Linked DNA regions of Rhinolophus ferrumequinum. The protein of the gene in region 1 interacts with the protein of each later gene in a pairwise test. Links are inferred from orthologs where the notes say so. Each region holds a gene or a part of one and is shown in the gene's direction. Other genes may lie near its edges.

What was found. The genes of interacting proteins can lie anywhere in the genome.
Region 2: the proteins of GABARAPL1 (region 1) and RETREG3 interact in binary tests that used the Homo sapiens proteins (3 or more experiments, as listed by UniProt). The link is inferred for Rhinolophus ferrumequinum from reciprocal best matches to the Homo sapiens genes GABARAPL1 and RETREG3.
Region 3: the proteins of GABARAPL1 (region 1) and ATG4A interact in binary tests that used the Homo sapiens proteins (3 or more experiments, as listed by UniProt). The two-hybrid records come from large-scale screens. The link is inferred for Rhinolophus ferrumequinum from reciprocal best matches to the Homo sapiens genes GABARAPL1 and ATG4A.

Annotation. Positions count from the first base shown.
Region 1 is NC_046293.1:25,901,550-25,909,805, forward strand, and holds the start of GABARAPL1 (gamma-aminobutyric acid receptor-associated protein-like 1), read left to right. Parts: upstream 1-4,801; 5' UTR 4,802-5,073; coding exon 5,074-5,163; intron 5,164-8,256. UniProt on the Homo sapiens protein: Ubiquitin-like modifier that increases cell-surface expression of kappa-type opioid receptor through facilitating anterograde intracellular trafficking of the receptor. Involved in formation of autophagosomal vacuoles.
Region 2 is NC_046304.1:38,318,984-38,327,105, reverse strand, and holds the start of RETREG3 (reticulophagy regulator 3), read left to right. Parts: upstream 1-4,470; 5' UTR 4,471-4,527; coding exon 4,528-4,766; intron 4,767-8,122. Other genes in the region: TUBG1 (tubulin gamma-1 chain), read right to left, coding at 101-262, 346-498, 941-1,090, 1,188-1,274, 1,509-1,635, 2,031-2,110, 2,379-2,447, 3,304-3,471 and 2 more. UniProt on the Homo sapiens protein: Endoplasmic reticulum (ER)-anchored autophagy regulator which exists in an inactive state under basal conditions but is activated following cellular stress.
Region 3 is NC_046284.1:46,492,114-46,499,754, reverse strand, and holds the start of ATG4A (cysteine protease ATG4A), read left to right. Parts: upstream 1-3,989; 5' UTR 3,990-4,105; coding exon 4,106-4,127; intron 4,128-5,993; exon of another isoform or gene 5,994-6,092; coding exon of another isoform or gene 6,093-6,206; exon of another isoform or gene 6,207-6,263; intron 6,264-6,328; coding exon 6,329-6,502; intron 6,503-7,641. Other genes in the region: PSMD10 (26S proteasome non-ATPase regulatory subunit 10), read right to left, coding at 230-383, 2,604-2,770, 2,865-3,011, 3,891-3,989, 6,093-6,206. UniProt on the Homo sapiens protein: Cysteine protease that plays a key role in autophagy by mediating both proteolytic activation and delipidation of ATG8 family proteins.

The DNA of each region.
Region 1 (8,256 bases):
TAAAAAATTTCAAGAGTGATATAAAAAGAATGAATCTGGAAAGATAGGTTGGCATCTTTTTATGGAAGGTATTACATGGGAGCTTAAGCAGTTTGATCTTTAATCCTACATTCTATGAAAGCCATCATAAGTTTTTGAAGAGGGAAAGAGATCATGTAACTTATATGATGCTTTGGCTATCTCTAGAGGATGAATACGAGAAGTGAAATGTAGAAGAGAGTTGAGACCATTATGGCTACTGAACTATTCCACAGAGAACACAAGTACTTTTTCAATTTCTTTCATAAATGCTTAGTTATAGGCAAAGCTAGAAATAAGGCAGGCTCAATTTACACCTCTTTATTTCAGCTTCATGATAGTCATTCTTTAACTGTTTAAATTGCCCTTTGGCTATTACTATCCTTGTTTGACAAATGATATCAATGTTCCAAGTCTCTAGATGTTTCTTGAGTACCAGTTTGTATATCAAACTTGCCTACGCCGGCTCTCTCTTATACTCCCCTCTTGCACTACATAGAACCTGCTCTCCCATATGATGTTAATACTAATTACTATAGGTGGGAAAGTTGAGTACTACTCGCTCCCTTTCTCAAAAAAGTTGTAAATCCACACTCAGTAAATACCAAAGTGGATGAATACACAGTCAATTCAAAGGGGACAAAAGTTCATCAAAAGCCAAGTAAATAGTAAGTAAACATAGCCATTTGAATGCCTGCAGAGCACCATTTACTTCTCCAAACTGTGTGTTCCCTTTTGTCAGCTTTGGAGGCTGAATTGCAGGAAGTGATGTAACTTGCAGGGATCTGAATGTCTGAGTTGGTTTTATACTCAACTTCCTCAGGCTTGAAATACCAAATGGAAAAAACTTTTGCTCTTATTTTTAAATTTAATTTTATTATTTGAATTAAATGTATGCATTTATGAAGATTAAAAAGTCAAAGAGCTCTATAAGGATTGTGAAGAAAAATAGCACCTTCCCACTACCCCCGTACATGTACGCATACGCCCTACTTTTTCAGCTGACTTTGTAAAATCTACATTTCAACAAATACTATGCATATATTGCTATTCTTGATTTTTATGTTCAGTTTGGTGCATCATCTATCAACTTGCCGTTATAGAAGAAATAAAATTTACCCCTTTTCGTTACCATGATCCCTACCTTTGCTACCATGACACATCTGAACATTTCTTGTGCCTCCTATCTTCTAAGCATAGTTATATCGTAATTTTAATTAGATGAGTATAATGGGTCGTGGCAAAAAGACTATTATTGAATAAGAGGCTAAAACCAGGCTTTTGGGCTTTTTCCTTACTCCTTGTCCAATCATGGTGTAGTCACTTAATCATTCTATGCTTCAAATTCTTAAGTTGTAAAATGATAAAATGAGTACATATACATTATATTATTATGTGTGGATTACAGGGGTTAATGCATATACACATACTATACATAAAGCATGTATATTAAATCCTCTTTCCTTTTTGCATGTCTTTCTCTTTGTCGAAATGCTCTCCTTTTTAGAAGGCCACCAATTATACTGGATTAAGGCCTACCCTAATGACCTCATCTTTTGATTATCTGCAAAGACCCTATTTGTAAAGTCACATTTATAGATACTGGGTGTTGAGACTTCAACATTTCTTCAGGGGACATAATTGAACCTATGACACAGTTGATTTAGTGGATTTTCAGGAGACAACAAAGAAAACTATATCTTTTTCAATCCACCATCTTAAATCAGTAGTCTACCCTTTGCTTTCTTGACTATGACATTGTCATGCACGGTGTCATGCAGGGTCTCAGCTCCCGCTCCCCACATAAGAATGCAGGATATGGTGAGGCCAAAAAGGAACACCCACGGAGCCATAGATAGGAGAGTCATACCGCTATAGTCTCACTGGCGCCTGGGTTGGAGACACAGGAAGCAGGAGCCACACGATCTGCAACCCGCCGTCCACTTGTTTCTGCCAACCAACCTCACTTGCTAACTGCAATCCGCCTCTCTGCAATCCGCAATCCACACTCTGCTGTGCTAACTGCAATCTGCTCTTGCTAGCTTAGCCACCACCTTCTTGCCAGCCCCCATTTTCTGTTAGCGTAGCCACAGCAGTTATATTAGTGGCCAATGGCTCACTGGTTACAGCTGACGGCCAACTAGCCACAGCTGATGGCCATCCCATCACAGTTGATGGCCATTTACTACCCCAGTGAGCACCTTTCCACGTGAGGGTGAGAGCCTGGAAACTGCGCTCCTGGCTCTGTCCCCATAGACATACTATGCACTTTTTGAGTCTTCATTTTGTATCCAAAGCATTGAGGATATAAATACAAGTAACATGTTACCAAATAGCACAGAGACTACCTGAAACTAGGGACTTAAATGCCATTAGTTCTCCCTCCAACTCTATCTTTACATTTATCTCTATCCCTATCTATACATCATGAGTCTCTGACTGACATCTTCTTTATCTTTCTTATGTTGGACTGGTGCATTTAGACTGCAAATTTAGATTTTATGAAATGAATACAGTGGCTACTGTAAGCCTCTGATCGTACATCATCAAAACGCCATAATTAAAAAAGGGACTTATTTCTCTAGCCTCATATATAGCCATTTCGTATTTTGTAGTCTATGTTCCAGGCATACTAAATTATTTAAATTACTTCTTTCCCTATATTGCCCTTATTTATGGTCATTGGATATCGTCAAATGATCTTCCTGTAAAAACATTTTCTCCTATTTTTTTTTCTTTTTTTTGGCCTAATTCCTGTAAATCATTTGGAGCTTAGTTCAGGCATCGCCTTCTTCAGGAAGCCTTTCTTTTAACCCCCATTTGCCTGGGTCCCTCTGTGTCTTTACAATGTGCTCTGAAAGCATTGTGTGCTTATTTTTGTCACAGGACACATAAATGATGTATTGTTCATTAGATAATACCATGTCCATTCCTTCTCTCTTTTTTTTTTTTTTGGCGGCGGAGGTATACATTGCTTTGTAGGAAGCTACTCCTCCCACACTAACCACTGCGTAGTTCTAGTGGGACCCACAAATCATAGATTCTCACTGCCTTGACCATTAAGAAGGCCAGGTGACTTATAAAAGACTAATCAGAATCTTTCCTTAAAATTTCTCACATATGAACTAAGAGAATATTACATTTTGTGTAATATATTAAATGTTATGCTGAGAATACAGGCAGAGAGCAAACTTTGGAAGTTCACAGATTGTGTATTCTACAATAAAGCATTAGCATTTAGAAAAGCCTTGAGGCAGAAAGATTAATCGAAATTCCATCTCCAAATTATTTTTCATATATAAATTGCCACTGTGCTTAGGTATTTTTAAAAGTTAAAATCAGTATTTTTAACTAGCTACGATTGTTTCCAGTAGATTTGATCATAGAATAATAGTCTTAAAATATTAATCTTCATCGTAATTACTTTTCTCAACTGGTTGTAAGGTTCTCCTTTGAGACATTTAGCTCTATTTGAACCGAAGCTAAAATAAGCTGAAAATTTCAATTTGAAAATAAGGAATAAAAATTATAAAAATATAATGTGATAAAATAATTCCTGGATTTTCACACATAAAAAGGACTGAAAGATACCATGGAGAAAAAAAATTAACATCAAGAAGTAGGGCTATGTAATTCATTCTCGTTTCAATAATGAAACTCAGTTTCTTTTGTGGATTTGTTTTTTAAATCAGAGACACTGAGACCTTGACAAAAGTAGATAGGGGCTGCCATTTTCTAATATATTAATAGTTAGCAGAGCTCCCTTGTTTTGGGCAGACCAGCCTGTCCTCACCCTTATCTTTCACAATTTCCTCTGTCCCCCACCATAGGTTCCTGGAATCACTGCCAGGAACAGTGGTTGGAAAGGCCTTAGTCCTTTTGATTCTTGTTGGAGAAAGGGGAGGGCCAGAGAGAGGTGATACTGGCACCTGGCCCACCACCCAGAGTCCTCCACTCCCCCTTTTCAGGTGGCACTTTCTATTCACATTAGGGATACTTAACCAGTACTAACCTTCAGGTGAATTTTTGCATAAGAGAAAAGAATGTTTGAGAACCACTGAGTTAATCACTTAGATCACTTGATATTTTCTTTTCCATCAGATAGGCCCAACTTCTGCGTTAATAGGAGAAAATGAATCATTTCTATATTTGAAAAGGCGTGAAGCCCTTAGTAGTTAAGACTGACACCACTTCTCTGGACCTTGATTACATCTGATGTCCTTTACCTAATGTGTCTTTTCAAATTCCTGAGTCACGTTTTGTTTACGTTCCTGCTCCAGGAACAAATTGCAACTGCGGCATGGACCCAAACAAAATGACGCGAACGTGGTGAAGGAAGGGTCACGGTCAGAGGAAGCCAGCCTAGCTCCCGAGGTTCCTGGAGGTGGCAAATGAAGGAGCAAAGGGCAAAATGCAAGTGCCTGGCACGTCTGCACTGGCCAAATAAACTCCAGGACCCTGATCCCTCCTTCCCCCAGACTTCAGATCCTAACAAGCTGGAAAAAGCTGGATTTTCTTCCAGTGTGTTTGTTTTTGGATCCAACCAAGAAACAGCGAGGGAGAGGGAAAAAGACATCTTTAGAAAATGTTTTGTTTTAAAACCACCTTTAATGCCACATTATCAATAAAATAAGAAGTAAAAACTGTTCTCATTTGCATGAGAACTCTGTTCAGGTAAAGTTTCGATAGAAGAAGAATACACTGAAACCGACAGTGTCTGTCCACCCCCAACTCGCGCGGTCCAGAGCGCTGGGGGCGGGATGAAGGGCGGGGCGCCGTGACGTCACAATACCAACGCGCCGCCGTGTTGTTATTGTGTTGCCAGCTCTCGGGAAAAGCCACCGGGAATTCTTTACCTGGCCATCTCCTACTTGCAGGCTAGGGCACCCGAGATCCCTTCAGAAGCTCTACCAAGCTGCGTTGCGACAGGAGCTGCCATTTCTGAAGCGATTCCGACACATTGAAATTTGGCGGAGGGAATAAGACCCAAGAGACGCAATCATCAGCGAGGAAGGCAGGCCCCGTCCGGGGATCTTAGAAACCCTGCGGTTCATCATGAAGTTCCAGTATAAGGAGGACCATCCATTTGAGTATCGGAAAAAGGAAGGAGAAAAGATCCGGAAGAAATATCCTGATAGGGTCCCTGTGAGTGCAAGGGGAGCGGGAAGGGGGAGGAGAAGGGAATATCGGGGGGCGGGAGAGTCGTGATGGCTGCCCTAAGGCACTGAAGAACGCTGGTCCCTAAAATTACTTACCCCTGAATGGCCTTCACTGCGAGGAGAGCCAATGGAATGGACGTTCTGACTGCGGACCTTTTAAAACCTGTATCCCCGGGGCCCATACCCATCTTTAGAGCTGACCGCTTCCTTTGAGCGGAGCCTACGTTTGAGTGACTCAGCAGTATTCAGAGGCTATTTAGGTTGTGATGTGCTCAAAATGTGGCCCTTCTGTGCGAGAATGATTCGGTCAGGACCACACATTTGCTGCCTTTGAGATCGCAGGGAAGTTTTCTGGGAATAATTGATGCCGTGGGGATTGCTCCCATAGATTTCTGTTTCTCCCTTAATCAAGTTGACTTCAGTCCTCGTAGCATTGGCTTTGGGAGGGAAAGGCTGGGAAGCCAGGGAATCCTTTTATACTGTGAGGACTGGGAGTTGGGGGGCAGGGGGCTGCCACAAGACAGGACTGGCCCAGAAAACAAGGTCACGTTCTCTGCGCAACAGCCGGGTTGCCTCATCATTCTTGGCTCCGGCGACATGTACGGGGGCAGCCAGCCTTCCCCGGTACCTATCTGATTAGATTGTAGCTGGGCACAATCAAGAAGGACTAAGGCCTTTTTCTCTCCGTTTTGAACCCTGGTTTATGTAATTAAATCTCGTGTAGGCAGCGAGGAGGAACAGAGGAGAAATATTAAGGTATCTTTCTGCATCCGGGCGTTTTTCCCATCACCCCTCCCCCGCCACTTGCCTGGTTTTTCTCTCCTGTGGGCTGCGCAGCCGGATTGGAAGGCAGACGACTTAAGTGTGGTAGAGGGAACAACCGTTGAATTTTGGAAATGGAGGAGCGGAGACTTTTAAGATTGTGCTCTTTATCTTCAGACAGGGTCATTAAGATAAATGTTACAAATAATTTACAGGTGAAGGAATTGCGATGATCTGATTTGCTTTTTTGACCCGCAGGTACTCTTTGGGCCTCCTCTCCAATCCTTAATCTGTCATGGTCTCACAGCTACCAGAAGAAGCCTGGGCTTTAGGCCAGCGGTATAAACCCCTTGCCGTCCTTTTCCTATAAGGAAGAGGAGACTTGAGGGCTGGTTTCATTCATTCCCTGGGAGTTGCACACAAAAGAGATCCTTCCCTAATCCTTCCCTCCCTGGTCCCTGGACCTTGAATGACAACTATAAAATTTTCTCCCAATTCTGGTGATACTCTATTATAATAACATTTAGAAGTGACAAGTAACTTTTATTGATAGTTTACCATGTGCCTGGGCGTATTCTGAATACTGTGTCTATAGTCATTCACTTAATCCTCACACCATTATAATGCCCATCCTACAGATGAAGACTGAAGCACAGAGAAGTGATTTCCTAAAATTTTCACATGGCTCTTCTGTGGCAGACCCCAGATTGCAGCTGGTTTGCTATTTCTATTAGCATTCTAATGCAGTTCTATTAGACAGAATTAAGGGTGCACTGTGTACCTCACAGTCTTAGGTATTGGAAATAGAGAAAAGAACTCTTGTTTCCCTTAAGAGTTCACAGAGCAGTATGAGGCTCTGTTCCAGTAGCTCTGTGTAAGTTACAAACTCTGAAATGTACCAGTTCCCAAATTGAGGTGAAATTCCCATGGGTTTCCTTAAAACCAAACCCTTCCCATTTCAATCATTTACATGCTTTCACCCAGAATATTTCTGCTCATCACCCCACCCCCACTGTTGTTTTGCTGCTCATAATTTGGAGTTAAATGTTTTACAAAACTGTTTAATTTGTAAGCTATTAGGACCATCAGTCAGTTCTCCTGGTCCCTCCAGTTATCTTTTAACCAGTGATAAGCCTTCCAACTGCTCCTTAGGTACTCAGCCTATGACCTTCTTTCTAGTTGTGACGCAGGAGGAAGAGCTCTGCTGTCTTGAGTTCTGAGATTTGATTCCAGTTCCAGGCACAACCCTTAATCTTGCTGTGCTAAAGTGTCCTGTTTACAAAAAAAGAGGGTTAGAGTAAATGATTTTCAAAGCCCCTTTCAGCTGGACCATTGGTGGTACAGCAATCACATACCCTGACTGTTCACATAACTCAAGCTTAACCCCAACAATATCTCTAGAGCTGCCATACCTGACTATGTGTGCATGTGCCTTGGGAGAGGAGGGTTTCATGGGCTCTTGCAATGATCTTAATAGCTACAGTGTATTGAAAACCTGCAACATAGCAGGAAACTGTTAGGAACAGATTGTATATATATATTTTTTAATTCAGGAACAGCCCTAAGGAGTATTAGCCACATTTCATTTTGCAGAAAAACAGAGAAGCAGACAGGAAAAGCAGCTAACCCAGGGCCCACTGTGGAGTAGAGCTGGGATTCCTGAAAACCGAAATATTTTCTGGTAAACCAGGGCCTAAATGATTACTCCTCCTCTTCCTGTTCCCCTCCAAGTCCCTCCTCCCCTGCTGATATTTTCTTTGCGGTTGGCTAGCTTTATTGCCCTCTTTCTGCTAGCTTCTTGTGGTTTCCATCTCTTGATTGGAGCTGGAGCTGCCAGGTCTCAGAGCTCCTGCTAGACACAGTGCTATGTGTCCTGTTTGCCTTTGGTTTTATAACCTCCTACCTCCTGTTCATCCTCATTGTCGGGCCTTCACTCATCTCTTCCTACTTTTTCTTTTGAATTTTTGATTCCTATATCACTACTCAAGTTTTTAATTTTAAGTGTGATCACGGTTCCTCTGGTGTTCTAGAATAGGATTTTTTTCCTTCTGTAAACACAAGATAAGTTTTTCACTCCTTTAATCTGTCTCCTTACATTTAAAAGCTTCAACCCCCCCCCTTGCTCTAAACCAATCCTTATATTTAGATAGTTCTGTATAATTTACAAAGCATTTTCACATAAAATTTTATGGATTACTCAAGTTCACCGTTTCAGTACCATGACTTTGTAAAACATGTTGGAAAGTTATCATCTTCCTTTTACTCATTGGAGTGCTGAAGCTCAGGCAGGTCAAATATCCTCTTGAAGGAAGATTAC
Region 2 (8,122 bases), on another chromosome or scaffold:
CACAGTAAAAAAGCCAGAAGCAGAGCAGCGGGAATGCAGAGAGGTGAGGCACAACCAGGAAAATGATTATGGGAAAATAGGTGCACACCGTGAGACTCACCGAGGAGATGCTGGTGTGGTTGGCCATCATGAGCCCGCTGACCCGGTGGGCAGAGGGCAGGTAGGGAGACTTCCTTGACAGGGCCACCTGGATGCTGGCTGGGCCCCAGGGGATGAAGTTGGCCAACTTCCGTTCCCGGATCCTCTGCAGGCTCTTGTGGACCTGGGGTGGGCAGAGGAGTGGTGGTGGTCGCCTCTCCTCTACCCCTGCAGGTTCCAGGGGTGGAATGAAGGGGCCTCACCTACCTGAGTGGGGTCCACCTCCCCCTGGATAATGTTGAGGATGGCAATGTAGCAGTGGTTGGTCTGGCGATCCCGGCCGGTGGACACCATCACATTCTTGGGCTGCAGCAGCCGCCTCATGACATCCAGGACCGTGGTCTTCCTCACGCTGGCCACCTGAGGCGAGAGTGGGCCACAGGGAGCAGGCTAGCACTGAGGGCACAGTGCAGGGACGCACGGACAGACGAGTAGGCGGCACGTGCCCCCACCAGACTTGGGGCAGTATGGTCTCTTTGGGGAGTGTCTTTGGATTCAGTTCTATACCGAGCCCCTGCTGTGGGATCAGGAATCTGAGCCCTCCTCAGCTCAGCAAACTCATGCCCCTGTGCAGGAGCACACGCAGACCCTGTACAGCCCAGGCCCTGCAGGAAGCCAAAGGCAGAGGGAGAGAGGAGAGCGAGTCAGCAAGGAAGTCGTACAGTCTGTGCCAGTGCCTGAGCGCAGAGCCTCTGGGGGCTGCACAGGGCAGGTCCTGGGGCAGCAGGGAGAAGAGAAAGGCTAGCTCAGGGCCTGCGGGCCCAGGGCCAGCCTGGCCTGGGACACTGAGGGCCCTTCTTACCGACTGGTCCGTGGTGAGGGGGGTGTAACCAGTCATGAGGAAGTGGAGCCGCGGTGTGGGAATGAGGGAGGCGATGAGGCCGATGAGGTCATTGTTCATGTAGCCCGGGTAGCGCAGGGTGGTGGTGCTGGCCGACATGATGGTAGACACCTGGGGACCGAGGTGCCATGTCATGCGTCTTGCCTGGGGTGGCCTCCCTTCCCCAGATGGCACTCTGAGCCAAAGGAGTCCAGGAGTGGGGCCTCACCAGCTGATTGATCTGGGAGAAGGATGGGTTCTGGATGTGCAGGCGATCTGTGGCGATCCGGTTCAGGGCTGTGTTGTCCAGCACCACCTGGGGGGACAGGAAGAGGTGGCAGATTTTTGGGAACATAAAGAACATGAGCTCTGCCTGAGCCAGGGCTCTGAAGCTCAATTTCCTCTGAGCCTCATAGCCAGAAAGACCGATCCAAAAGGGATTTGAATAGCACTGGGGCCTAGAAGATCTCAAAATGAAAGTTTTAAGTGTATGAAAATGGTGAAACAGACAAGGGTATGGTAGTAGGAAAAGGTAGAATCTAGGACTCACCACACAGTCTGCGTTCTGGGTCAGCCTTTTGAGTGTGAGCAACGAGTTGTAGGGCTGGACCACCACGTCGCTCATCTCGTCCTGGTTGGGAAACACTGAGTATGTCTGCACCAGCTTCTTAGGGTACCTGGTGGGGATTGGGAGAAGAGAGTCAGGGTGACAGACTGGATGCTTGATACACATAGGGCTTCCAATAACTGCCTGGAAGCAGCTGAATCTGGACGGGGAAATTGGTGCTGGGCCATGGGATCAGTAGAAAAGGGAGAGGTGACTTTTGGAAGTCTGTAAGTTTCCCAAAGGGCAGAGAGACATCTTAGGATCTAGGGTTCTAAATCCAAACTGTCCATCCTCGCTGACCCTTCATCTCTCCACCTAGGACCCAGATTGTAAGGTCTGGGTTCAAGCCGCGGGGGTGGCTAGGAAGGCCCTTTCCTGCTCCAGTGAATAACAAGGTATATCTGAAGGGACTCTCAGTTACTTGGGAAACCAAGTCCTCCCAGGCCCGTCAAAACTCAGACGTACCTGTCGTTCAGCCGTTCTAAGAGGTAGGAGCCCAGGCCAGAACCTGTTCCCCCAGCAATAGAGTGACACAGCACGAAGCCCTACATGGGAAAGGGGCAATCAGTGTCTAGGTTAATCTAGTGAAAGGATTTCAAACTGGACCCATCCCACAATTTCTCAGACCCCTATCTTCCACTTTCCTGCCCCCACACATAGAGCTTAGGAGCCTGCCTTATTTCCAGCAAGGTCCGGTGGCTTCTGTCCAGTGCAAAGGGTACATGGGTGGTCTTATACCTAACAGATGGCTTCTAAAGGGTAATGCTGAGCCTTCCCTATGTCGGTTCCCACAAGTAGTGCTGAGACACTCACCTCTAGACTGTCACTGCCATCTGCCTCCCGGTCTATGATGTCAAAAATGTCCTCATGGATCTTCTCTCCCTGTACAGATATGGGGAGGGTCAGAGTGGGACAGGACCATGGGACAAGGACTCTGAGCTCACAATAGCGACCCTCGATTCTCCTTATAGCAGCGAAAAGGGTTTTTTGGAGCACAGGGGCCCTGCTTTTTATTCTCATTGAGAGACAGTATGGTACAGTGGTTAGGAGCAGGCACTCTACATCCAGACCGCCTAGGTTCATACATCAGCTCTAGTTCTATTTAGCCGAGTGACTCTGGGCAGGTTACCTATTCTCTCTATACTTCAGTTTCCTCATCTCTATAATGAAGGTATTAATACAGGTCCGTATACCCTTATCCAAAATCCTTGGGGCTTATGGTTTGGAATTCAAATATTTCATATTCTAGAAAGGTAATATGATACATATAATGTATTTTAAGCAAAATGCCAGCAGGGTCTGAGGTGCCCTAACCGAATACATCAATATTTCTGCAAAGAAAGGTATGAGTAATGACAATAAATTGGATAGAAATTATAAAATAGCCTGTCTCAATAGATTTGGTTTTGCTGTTAAATCGTCTTTTGCTTTCAGTTTTTTGGATTTTGGAAAGGTAGATAAAAGTCTGTGAACCTGTAGTACTTCTAGGGTTGTTGGGAGGTTTAAGTAAGTTAATACATATTAAGTACTTAGTATGGCCTGTCACACAGCACTAGCTAGTGTAATGTCTTAAGAATATTACATAGTTGACTTAGAGAAAAGCACTTCCCTCAGTCATGTCTCTCTCCCTCTCCCACTCATACATCCTCTATCTAATTTCATCTCTCTCTAGGAAGTCACTGGGCCTGTTCCCACACAGGAAGGGCATTGCGGGTCTTGCCAGGGAATAGCAAACGACCTGGGAGAATCCGCTGGCCCAGTTGTTGCCAGCTCCTCCTCCATGCTCCGACAGGTAGATGTTCTCTGGGTTGTAGAGCTTGGCATAGGGAGAGTTGAGGATGGAGTGGATCACCCGGGGCTCCAGGTCCAGCAACACAGCCCTGGGGATGTAGTGCTCATCGTCCGCCTGTCAACGGGAGTCCAGGAGGGGGCCCACTCAGCTGAGGCCTGCCCAGTCCTCGGTCCTCCCCACTCTGGCTCCTGCCTGCCCTCCCGCCTCAAGCCAGCAGCCCTGGCTCCTTTGCCCAGCGGGGTTTCCCAAGGCCACTGCCCATCCTTTCAGGCCCCCTGGCCAAGTCGCTGGGAGCACCTGGTAGAAAAAGACGTCCTTGCGGTCAGTGCCCTCGGTGGCGAATTCCTCCACGATGCCCTCGGGGCTGATACCATGCTCAGCGCACAGTTGTTTCCAGAACTCGAACCCAACTGGAGGGGGGAGGCGGGCGGAGGAGAAAGAGGATATCTAGGTCTGGGCAGGTTCCAACTAGGAGCTGGGGGACTGAGCGCCCGGGTCCAGGGATAGGAAGTCAAGGCTCAGCAGACTCCCATGACAGAGGAAATAGCTGTATGCCAGCGATTGGGCAGGGAAGGGCTTTCGGGGTTGGACAACTGAACACTGGGTCAGGCATGTCCCGCGTTTTGGAGAACTACGATTCTGGAAAGGGCAAATGGGAGTCCAGTATCCCACAGCAAGACCCCATTGAATCTAAGGAACCTGACTAGCGGAGGGGCCGGAGGTTCGCTCACTCTGATTGCCGCACTGGCCCAACTGTAGGGTGATGATTTCCCTCGGCATCGCTCTTCAGGCACCGGCGTTGCAGTCACTCCTGCTAGCAAAGCCTCCGTGCGCCAGCCCGCCTGCCGCACGACGCAGGCGCCAAACAACCCGCTCCGCCCACGAACTTTCTCCGCTCCAATGAGAAGTGAGTTCTGGCGATGGCACTTTCTTATTCATTTGGCTTCACTAGTACCGACTGCGCGTGCGCGGCACCGGATCGGGCTCGGAGCTGGTGAGAGGGGAGCATGGTTTGACGTAGCGTTCTGTCTGGGTGGAAGCCAACTAGAACCCAAGCGCAGGCGCAGTGTGGAGGGAAGCGGCCTTCCCCGGCCAAATCGCGCATCTGCGCAGTCGGTGTTATTGTGACTGTCGGGCCGCGGCCCCGGATGTGGTGGCTGAAGGTGGGAGATGGCGGAGGCAGAGGGGGTGGCTGGAGCGCCAGGCCCAGTTTCGGGGCCGACTTTCAGGGGCCGCGGCGCTATGTCGGGCTCCTTGGAGCGGGACCAGCAGGTTGAGGCGGCGCAGCGGGCCCTGGTGGAGGTGCTGGGGCCTTACGAGCCTCTGTTGAGCCGGGTGCAGGCAGCCCTGGTGTGGGAGCGGCCAGCCAGGAGCGCCCTGTGGTGCCTGGGGCTGAACGCGGCTTTCTGGTGAGAAACTGGACCCTCAGAACCCCTCCGCGGAGCGAATTCGTCAGGTTTCTTTAGGGCACTACCTCTCGCCTCACCTGTTTTCTTCGCTGCACTGGCTCCTTCCTATCTAATTTTGCCTCACTTCCACTTCATCCCGCCTGCAGGCTTTGGCATCGCAGTTCTCCGTAGGGCCTTCCAATTGTCTTCCCTCCTTTACCTGCTCCCGCACCCTCGCCCCGCACATCTGGATCTGGCAGGAGCATCTAGTAACGCCTTGAGCCGTCCGCGGTGAACGAGGGCGCCTCATTTTATCCAGGGAAAGCTGGGTCCCTTTAGGGCCATCACCTCCCTTCTCTTGTCTGCTCAAATGTGGTTTGAAGACTGTCTCTAGAGAGTTTAGTAGTTGTTACTGGGGTAGATGCGTGAGGCGTGAGGTCTTGGAATGGTATCCATGGGTGTGATAAGAAAACAAGGTCGATTGGTCTGAATTAGAATTAGCCCATTCACGGAAGTTTGTGAAGTCTGAACGTCAATGAGAGGCTCCAAAACTGCAACTTGAAAGTGGTAAGCTTTTAAAGAACAGTTGTGAAATAGTGATTGTGAGATTTCACCCGGTTGAAAACCCCTTAGAATTGCAACTCTCCTTGTTCCAAGGAATTGGTGAGAGGAGGCATCCTTAGCCGTGGCAGTTGAGGATGTCTCACAGTGCGTGTGAGTTTTCCTGAGCTGGGAGTGGGACTGTAAATATATTTTGAGACTCTGTATGTTTCATGCTCTGTGAAATGGAACTGTGGCTTCTCTCAGTTGTCATTACCTAAAGTGGACTTCGGTCTTCACAGGATCTGCCAAGCAGATCGAGGGAAAGATTATTGATCAAATTCCCAGGGAACTGACGTGTAGGGGTGGGGGTGCCTCTCCAGCTGAATGAAATAAGACTATTCTGGATAAAGCTGAAACAGAACAGTGTGTATCCAGCAATTTTTGGTTCTGCTAAAAATACTTTCCTCTTAAAATTCTTGGTTTTAAAATCAAAACGTAAACAAACAAACAAACAAACAAACAAACAAACAAAAAAACGTTTAGTATCCTTTCTCTGAAAGAAGGTTTGTCAGTCAGCTGGAGCAAAACAAATAATTCCACGTTCGTGATCAGACAGTGTTCAGCTATTAGGTTAATCCTCTCACAGTTTGAAGGAGACTCAAGTTAAAGTTGTCACAGTAGCCTCTGCCATTTGTTGCTTCCAGAGTCTTTAGCAAGCTTGATAATAAACTTTTTTTTTTTTTAACAGCATTCTTCTTCTTCTTTTGTTTTTTGTTGGTAGTGCTTCCTTGATCCCCAGTTCCTTAACTTCTCTCCTGTTGCTCCCTGTCAGGAACTCTGAAGTGTAGCACCTCATCCAGGAATGTTGACCAGAATGACCTTTTCTTCTCCTACCGCCTCCCCATCCTAACCCCTAACCCCAGACCATCCTGTCAAAACTTCATTCCCTACATTGGGATTGTACTCCGAGGAAAAAAAATTGGTCCTCAATAAACCAGTTTGTATCAAAGTGTGACTGGCTGATACATGAAAACTTTATCCGGATTGAAATAAACACCAAGGGTTTATTAATGCCGATGGATCAGTTGCATGTATGTTGTTATTTCTGGGACGGGGACTTTGCACATATCCCTTGCCTGAGAGAGATGTTTGAAGTGGAATGCAGGTGAAGGTCTACACGTAAGGAGCTGTTGTTCTGACGGAGCTACACCTTTCAGTGTTACAGTGTTAGCTTTAATGTTCAGGCCCGCAACAGTGTTTACGTAAGTTTATTAATAGGCCGTATTTGGAAGCTCCCTCAGATCCCCTTTTCCTACTCCTGGTCTCTTATTAAAGCATTGTGATGGGTCTTTATCTCTGGCGTTTCCTGGTAGCTTGCCTGCTGTGTCTCCAGAACAGTGCCTCTCGTGATTCCCATCATACGCTAAGTAGGTGGGGGAGAGAGAGAGCGAAATGAGGGTGTGACTCCTGAGATTGAAAGGGCAAAGGAGTGTGCCATTTATGGAGAAGACTCATACCTGTGAAGGGTACAGAATGACTGACAGTCCGGAGGCTGAGGGAGTTTGGCGCTGGAGTTCACAGGATTGTTTGTTTTCGGGAATGTGCTTTCTGGGAAGGTAGTTTGAGGCGCAGAATGAAAGACTTCACATTGCAGTAGCGTTATATTGAAGATGGGTGTCTGTTTACGTTTCAATTCGGAATGTCAAAGAGTGACAGTTTAATTCTTGGACATTTGAAGTGTTTAGGAAATGAAAGAGAAGAATTGGCTCAGGTCAGAGGAATCAATTCTGAAATATTTTTCTTTTATTATTGTTTTGAATAATAATATATCACTAACTGAGGTGTTTTATTCATTTTGAGGTATTATAAGATTGGGTAGGAGTAGAGAAAATCAGAATTCAGGTAGTCACTTTCACTGTTCTGTATTATCAGTGAAGGTTTTTCTGTACCTGTGAATGTGCCCTCTTAATAGAAACAACAACATCATAAAGGTAGAGATAGATGTAGATACCTCGCTACTATAGTATTTCAAGGCCTTCACTCTTGTTTTTTTTTTTCCCCCAAGTTCCAGAGAAATGGTGATCATATCAGAGATCTGCCAGCTTATATTGCTCCTGGTCACTGATATGTTATTATCTCTAGCATAATAACAGACATGTCAGGCCCCCCTCTCCAATTGCTTGTTTTTTCATTAACCTCAACACCCCCTATAAATGAGTGATTTGGGGGAAGAATATCTGAGTCAGCAAGCGTGTATCGTGACAGGGTCAGAAAAGAAGAACATGTTCGAGTAACATTTTAGTTTAACTCAGACCTTGGAGATAAGGGGAGAACAACAGCGCCCTGGAAATGGGTGTGAAATCCAAGCACCGCTTCTGTGAAGAGCACATAGTTCCAGGAGGGCTCGATGACTGCTGAGCTCCTTTCCAGTTCTCTCTCTCTCTCTCTCTCTCTCTCTCTCTCTCTCTCTTTCTGTTTTGTTTTTTTTTTAATTAAATTCATTGCCTTTTCTGTTTTGAACATTCTATGATTCTAGGTGGTCTTTAAATTCAGATATTGATTTAGAGCAATCCACAGGCCGATTTTTTTATTGGGATCTGCTTTTATAGACACTGGTCTGAGTTAACCATACTGTATTCTCAGGGGCATTATGAAACCTATTGTTTTCACAATTGAAAAAAACCAGAGTGTTTCCTCTCCCCCCGTCAACTCCCCAAATAAAACAATGACCCAAGAAGTGATTAAAGATATATAGAAATTCTGATTTAAGAGGTTAGAATTTGAGTGAAAAACAATAGTGGGGAACAGGAGATGGAAGGGAGAGCCCATTTAAG
Region 3 (7,641 bases), on another chromosome or scaffold:
GAACAATATACAATAATAGAACAATCTCAACAGTTATTCAGTGTCTGGAAAGCAGATTGTAAGCTTAGAACAAATACCTCAGCAGGAACAATATTCAAAACATGTCTAAGACTTTGAAGGTGAAAAAAACGTCATTATTCATAGATGATGTCTTGTGCTTAAGTACATTAGTTTCCAGGACACTGGGGACAGCCACAAAACATACAAAGTAAGAATAATGCCAAGCTTCTTAACCTTCCACCATTTTCTTGAGTGCTAAACCCAGACCCCCTCTGGCTACTTGCAGGGGTGTCTTTTCTTCTTTATTCTCAATGTAAATACTTGCTCCATGAGACACCAGCAGTTTTGCTTCTTCCACTCTCTCCTCGTCACAGGCTAAGTGTCTGCAATTGAGGACCACAAAGACCCATAAATCACTAATTCTCTGTAATGGCTAGGATTTCCTGATAGGTACTCTAAAGTGCATATTATCAGGTAGTGTAATATTGGGAAGTTATTTAATTAGGAAAGGAAAATCAATTTTCATGGGGAAGAGTGTTTATAAGTTAAAATTCAGTGAAATAGCCTTATAATATCAGATCATAAATCGTAATTCTGGCCCTACTGCAATAGGAGGGATCTAAATGCCAGCCTAAGAAACAAATCCTTTACTTTGTTGAGATTAGAAGTAATTTGCACCAAACACATGGAATCATTCAGGGTTAGAATTCAGAAAACAACAATAAAAACAAAACAACAACAAAAAAACACAACCAGTTCATAATCTGCTAATAGGAATTTTTATGACTTATATTTTGGAAAAGCAGTTTAAAGGAGTTTAACTCATCTGATCCCTATATCCACCTTAAAAGTTAGCAAGGTATTATTATCATCATTTTACAGTTGATCTTGTGACAGAGGTGCCTATGACGACATGGCTGAGCAATAACTGAGGGAGGGAACCTTGTTAGGCACTTACAGTTTGTCAGCCAGGCTATTAGACACTTTACATGTTATTTTATTTCAACCTCCCAACAATCTACCGAGGAAGGAATTATTATCCTTATATTACAGATGAGGAAATTAACTCAGGAAGGTTAAGTAATTTTTCCAAGTTACTTAATGTAAGTATTTAATCTAGGTGGTAAGTGGCTGAGTTTGTAAATCCTAGGCTCTTCCCAGAGCCCTATACTGCCTGACTTCTACATCTCGCCAGGCCATCCCGAGTTTCTGGCTATGGAGTAGCGGGCAATATGTAAGTCTTTCGAATCGGAGTCACTCACACTACAGAAAAGATTTTTAAAACTAAGTGTTAAGAAAACAATGTTTTCAAAAAGTCAGTTTAAAGTCAAATTAGAAAAGGTTGGATCTCACTTTGGACTACAAAGAAGACTCACAGAATTTCTGGTTCAAAAAAGCCACCATTCAATAAGGAAGAAAAATGGCCAAGTACTGTAGAAAAAAATATCAAGGTAGAGGATGGCTTCAGGCCATACACGTAAAAGAATTCTGAATGAATTTGAGTTAAATGAAAAACAGTAACAATAATTCTCAACTAAAACCCATGGTGCAATAAAATACAGGTGAATATTTAACTAATTTCAGGGTGAGGAAAGACTTTCTAGTCATGAGGGAAGATTCATAGGTTTGACTATGCAGAAGTTGAAAACTTGCTATTTAAAAAAATCATGAACAACACGAAAAGAGAAACGGGGGAAATATTTTCAACTAACATGGCAGAAGGTTAATATTTTTACTATGTCAGGTCAAGGGTACTTAAAAAAAAAATCAGTGAAAATAAATTAACTCCCCAAAAGGAAATAGAAAGGGACACAAAAAGCTACAATTTAGAAAAGAAATGTAATTAGTCGTAGGCATTAAAAGATGTTTAACTTCCCTGATAATAAAAAATGTAAATTAAAACTATAAAATATCATTTTTCATACAACAAAAGGATATTTTCAGTGTTGGTGAGAGGGTAACAGGCATTCTCAAATTGCTGTTGGGAGGGTACAATGATATAACTCCTCTGGAAGCAATCTGGCAATATATGGCAATAGTCGTAAAATGTGTGTATTTGTTGACTCAGCAATTCTACTTCTAGAAGTATAAACTAAGGTAATAATCAGCAATATGGCCAAAAATTTTTGTACAAAGCTGGTCAGTGTAGCATTATTTACAGTAGTGTTTTAAAAATATAGTTATACAGAAATGATTGAATTATGGAACATCTATAAAATGGAATTGTACATAGCCATTCAAAAATGTTTTAAAAATATTTAATAATATTGGAAAATGCTCACGATACGCTATGAAGTGAAAAGAACAGGATGTAAAACTATATGCACAGTATGATCCAATTTTTACCAAAAAAAATGTAAAATACGCATAGTTGCATACAAAAGACTGGGAGGAAATACCTAAAAATGTTGTCAGTGGTTATTTCTGGGTGGCAAGATAGGCATTTTTAATTTTTATCTTGATACTTTTGTGTACTTTCAAATGTGTGTGCCACAAACATGTATTACATTTATAAACAGAATAATAAAAGAAATGATGTGTAACAATAAGTGCAAGAGGGCTAATGCCAGGTAGAATACAAATGACTACTACTTGTCACTTACAGAGGAGTGTTACCCTCACTGTCTTGGATGTTTGTGGATGCTTTGTAGTACAGAAGGATATGAATCATCTTCAAGTTACCCTTGGCTGCCGCCCGGTGCAATGCTGTAGCTTCATAATGGTCCTTAGCGTCTGGATTAGCCCCGCCTTCCAGTAACATGACAGTGATCTGGAAAGTCAGAGAAGAAAACAATGCAGAGCTCTATTTGTGTTTGTGTCCAGGTTTAGAACTCAAAAGAAGTCTCCTAGGAATAAAACCCTACCTCATGCCTGTTTTTGGAAGCTGCATAATGTAGGGGAGTACAGCCATTTTGATTGACAGCATTCACTTGAGCACCTCTTCCCAGAAGGGCTTTTACAATCTCATCCCGGCCAGCAGAAGCAGCGATATGAAGAGGAGACCAACCTGCCTGTAAAAGAGGTGCGCAGTACAAAAACCAGGGGGAAAAGGCACAGGGATTAATGCTAACATTTAGGTAGGGTTTACAAAGAACAGTGTGTGAATGATTTAAAAAAAAAAATAACATCCTTTTTTTCCCCCTCATTAAGCACTGCAGAAAATTTGGAAAGCAGATGTATACAAAAGAAAAGAAAAACCACTCATAATCCTATACCACAGAGATGATGATACATAAGTCTAATTCTAATGAGTTTTCAAACTAGGATCAGAGGATATAAAGCTCTGTGAGTTGCATTTTCTACAACTTCCACTTATCATTTTGTTGTCAATTTTTCTGTCATTCTTTGGAATCATGACTTTATTGGTTGCATAATATCTTATCATATGGATATACCTACTATGTCCAACTGTTCCTACATTAAATCGTGTTTATTTCTTTGCTATTATAAATATTACTTCAGTGAGCATCCTTGAAAAGGAATCTTTGCCTACCAAAAATTTTTCATCCTTATTCTTCACAAGTCTTATCCTAATAAAACCAATACTATTACAATAAATTTCTATATAACAAAAAAGATATGTAGGCCTTCATTACTCAGGCAATATTCACCAAAAAATTTCCAACATAATAAAAAGGGTCTGTAGTCTCTTAGAGGTCATTGTAATAAGCTTTGATCTGCATGTTTACCTTAAATTACAGGGTATGAGTGGCAAAACTAGTATTTTAAAATAATGAAACCACTAGTCCTATGCTTGGTCACCAGGGCCATACTGTAACTTCCTAGACATAAAGGTTACAATTCTGTTGAGCTTAATACTCAGGTTTCAGTAAACACCAGTCTGGAGTCTAAAGATAACTGGAAATTTATTAACTCTGCCTAGTACTCACATCATCTTTATCATTCACTGGCACTCCAAGTTGCAGCAAGAATTCAACAATTTCTGTATGTCCGGCTGAGCACGCCCAATGCAATGCAGTCCTGCTGTCCTACACGGGAGAGTGGCAATAAGATCAACATTTTTGAAGAGAAATAGAAGAACTAAGGCAAGAAAGCGGAACAAAATAATATTAGGGCCAGCAAACCTGTAGTTTGGAAACAAGAAATGGAAAGCACTGGATCCTCAGGTAGGTAACCTTAAACCATATTATTACTAACACAAGAGAGACCAAGGTTTTAGTAACATGGGGAAAATACATGGACGAATGTGACAATTCTGGGCAGAATACAGCCATGAAAGCAGCAGAGTAAGAAACTTGATTTCAGTGCTTTGGCAGAAATAGAGCTTTGGCTGCTTACCACTGCATTAATACATGCTTTTATGTCAGGCACTGTGCTTGGAGTTTTACATGCATCTCACTTAATCCCCACAATCCTGTACAGTGGAGATTATCCTCATTTTACAGAGGAGGAAACTAAGACTCCTCAGGGTAAGCAATTTGTCCAAGGTCACACAGCTAGTAAATGGTGGAGCTGGGACACAAACCCATCTGTCTGACTCTAAAATTTCTAGATGCTCTGGGAAGAACACATACATCTCATGAGGAAGAAATGTTAATAAAACTAGTTGACATCATCTATATATACCTTTAAAAGAAAATTATTTTAAATTGTATTACAAAACATTTCAAACACATAAAAGTAGAGGGACCATTATTGCAACTATTAAAATTAACACTAACTCTAAAAAAAAAATACTAAATAATACCGTGTTTTCCCGAAAAGAAGACCTAACTGAAAAATAAACCCTAGGAGGATTTTTCAGGAAGACATCCCCTGAACATAAGCCCTTATGCGTCTTTTGGAGCAAACATTAATATAAGACCTGGTCTTATTTTTGGGGAAACACAGTAAATAAACACTAACTCCTTCCTAACATCTAATTCCCAGTCTATATTCAGATTTTGCCAAGTGTCCCCCAAATGTCTTTTGGCAGTTGGCTTATTTCAGTTAGGATCTATACAAGGTCCGTAAGTTGCATTTGGTTATGTTTTTTAAGTCTTTTGAACTTGAATAGCTTCCCCCTTTTTTATGCCATTGACTTAATGAAGAATGGTTAGATTACTTAATTTTACTTTAACATTATTAAATTAAGTTAAAGTACTAAATATTGCCCGACCATAATGAAGAAAAACTTGGCAAAGATAACGCCATTTTCAGGTTGAGCAATAAAGGAAAGTTCCAGAAAAAAGTCTCCTGACTTCCAATTCTCTTCCCAAAGACACAAAACGGAGATTTCTAAGTATGTGACAATGTCTCACCAGCGCTTAGCACGTGGTGCCTGTCAAACAGGAGGCAATCTATAAATATTTGTTGGCTTAGTAAGGGCACCGGGAATCTTTCTAGAAACTCGGGATGAAAGCCATGAGGGTACTTTGAGCCGGGCGACAGAAAGAAACACTTCCCAAAGTCCATTCACTTTTGTTCCGCCTCTGCCTATAATGCCCATTCATCCTCCAAGGAAGTCCCGCTCATCCCGCAAGGTCTAAGCTCCTCCGCAAACCCTTTTCAATTGCCACATCTGGCTTTTCTAAGGGAGATTAAAGCAGGTCCTCGTTCTAAAAGCACCATTTAAACTTCTCTCCCGAGTTTTTGTTAACCGCAATTTGTAATCGGACATGATTTGGCGTTACTTTATTAATGTCTGCTTCTTCCACTCGGCTGTCTCCCCAACTCCTAGCAAACTGCCTGGCACAGGAGGGGCGTTCTTACACGTGTTTCACTGAATAAAATCACTTGTAAAAGTAAAGACACCCATTAAAACAAACAAAAATACAAACAAAAATACTCTCCTCTTCAGGGTATCTCAAAGATTGGACATTTGTGAAAAACGCAGGGCACATTCTACACATAGCCAAAATTCAGTGAGCTAAGTAGTGGGCCAAAACCATTTTTTTTTTTTTTTGAGGTTTGCGGGGTAGCTCCTGCCGTCCATTTCCGAGTCCTGACGCGATCCCGGGTGCGGATGAGGCGGCGGGGGCGGGAATCTGGCCTCTGGGAAACGGTCTCTTCTTGGGCCGCGCCAGGCAGCCACGTTGGGCTACGTAGCCGCCGCCGCCGCCGCCTGCGGAGAGGCTTCAGCGCTGCTTTACCTGGTCAGTTCTAGTAGCCAGGGATTTATCCGCCAGGATCCTTTCCTTCAACTCCTCCAGCTTCCCGCTGTAGGCCAGATTGCAGACCATTAGGTTAGACACAGAACCCTCCATTTCGCTTTCCCAGGATCTTGGGGCAGCGAGACCGCGGACCGCCTCACGTCGCCGGCTCCAACTGCCAATCAAAAATGCCGACAGAGCTGCACCAATCACCAACTTTCCTCATTCCTTTGCAGGGCGCCTCTGGGAGTTGCAGTTTGAGCTCAGTTCCGTGCCGGGAGGTGCCTTTGCCTCTCTCACCGACTCTGCCCCTAGCAGCGCGGAACTACAAGTTCCAGGGTCCCTCGCGGCCACCGTAGTCAAGTGGCCGGTGGAATTGGCCCAGGATGACAGCTGGAGAATGGAGTCAGGTACTGGGAGCGGCTTCGTGTGGAACCGGGGAGGGTGGTCATTGTGGGGCATTGAGTCGGCCACGCGAAATGGGTGCGGAGTCATGGCGAGAGAGTTATGAGAACCTAAAGGTCCTGTCGCACAGGGGCCCTGACCTGCAGTGGGAGGCGGAAGGGACAACAGTAGGAGCTGAGTATTACCTCCCGAGTTCGTACTGGTGGCTGTGGCTACCCTCCCCCTCCCTGCCGCCGCCACAGGAGTGGAAAGAAGTAGGGGTTAATTATTCTGACATCTCGGCGGAGAGGCATCCGGGCAGAATTCTGTCATGGCAGTGATAGCATATGACACCATAGTAAGGTGATGTGCCAGGGTGATGCCAAAGGCAGGGTGTGATGCCATAGGAGCCACTTGATATCTAAGAGACTTAGGTGAGGCCATGGCCTGGTGGCATCACAACTTGATGAGGGTAATCTTGATACTGTGGTATGCTGTTGGCCCTTTAATATCGCGGTAATAACGATGACATCGAAGCTTTGCTAGAACTATTAAGCTAATAGTGTATTTATTTATGGAAATCCCAAATAGTGCTGTAGCAGAAGAGATGCGAGGCTTCCTTATTTTTTATAGGGCATATCCATAAGCACAGTATGCCAAAACTAGCTAATGATAAGAATACTCTCCAAGAAAGAGACTGATTACATTTATCTTGTGGTGTAGAACAGAGCTTGGCAAACATTCTGTAAACAGCCAGATAGTAAATATTATAGGCTTTGTGGGCCAAAAGGCAAAATCCAGGATACTTTGTAGCTTTTTATATAACAAGAGCGAAAACAAATTTCAACAAATGTTTATTGATGAAATTCAAAATATAATAACAGTAGATAATTATTTCCTAATACAGGATTACTAGTGTGAATAATGGAATTCTTTTTTTTGGGGGGGGTCTAACATTTTGTTTAATTGGGGCTCACAGTCAGTGTTCCCTCTCATCAAAATTGTTCCAAATGTTCACCTGTTAATGCTAATCTGTAATGATATTTTACCTATTTCATCTTTGTAAATGTCTTTTTACATATATTGGGACTGCCAAATACTGATATAAATCCACAAACATTTTCTTGTCAATTTTTATCTAAATACATTTTTTATTTCAGGATAG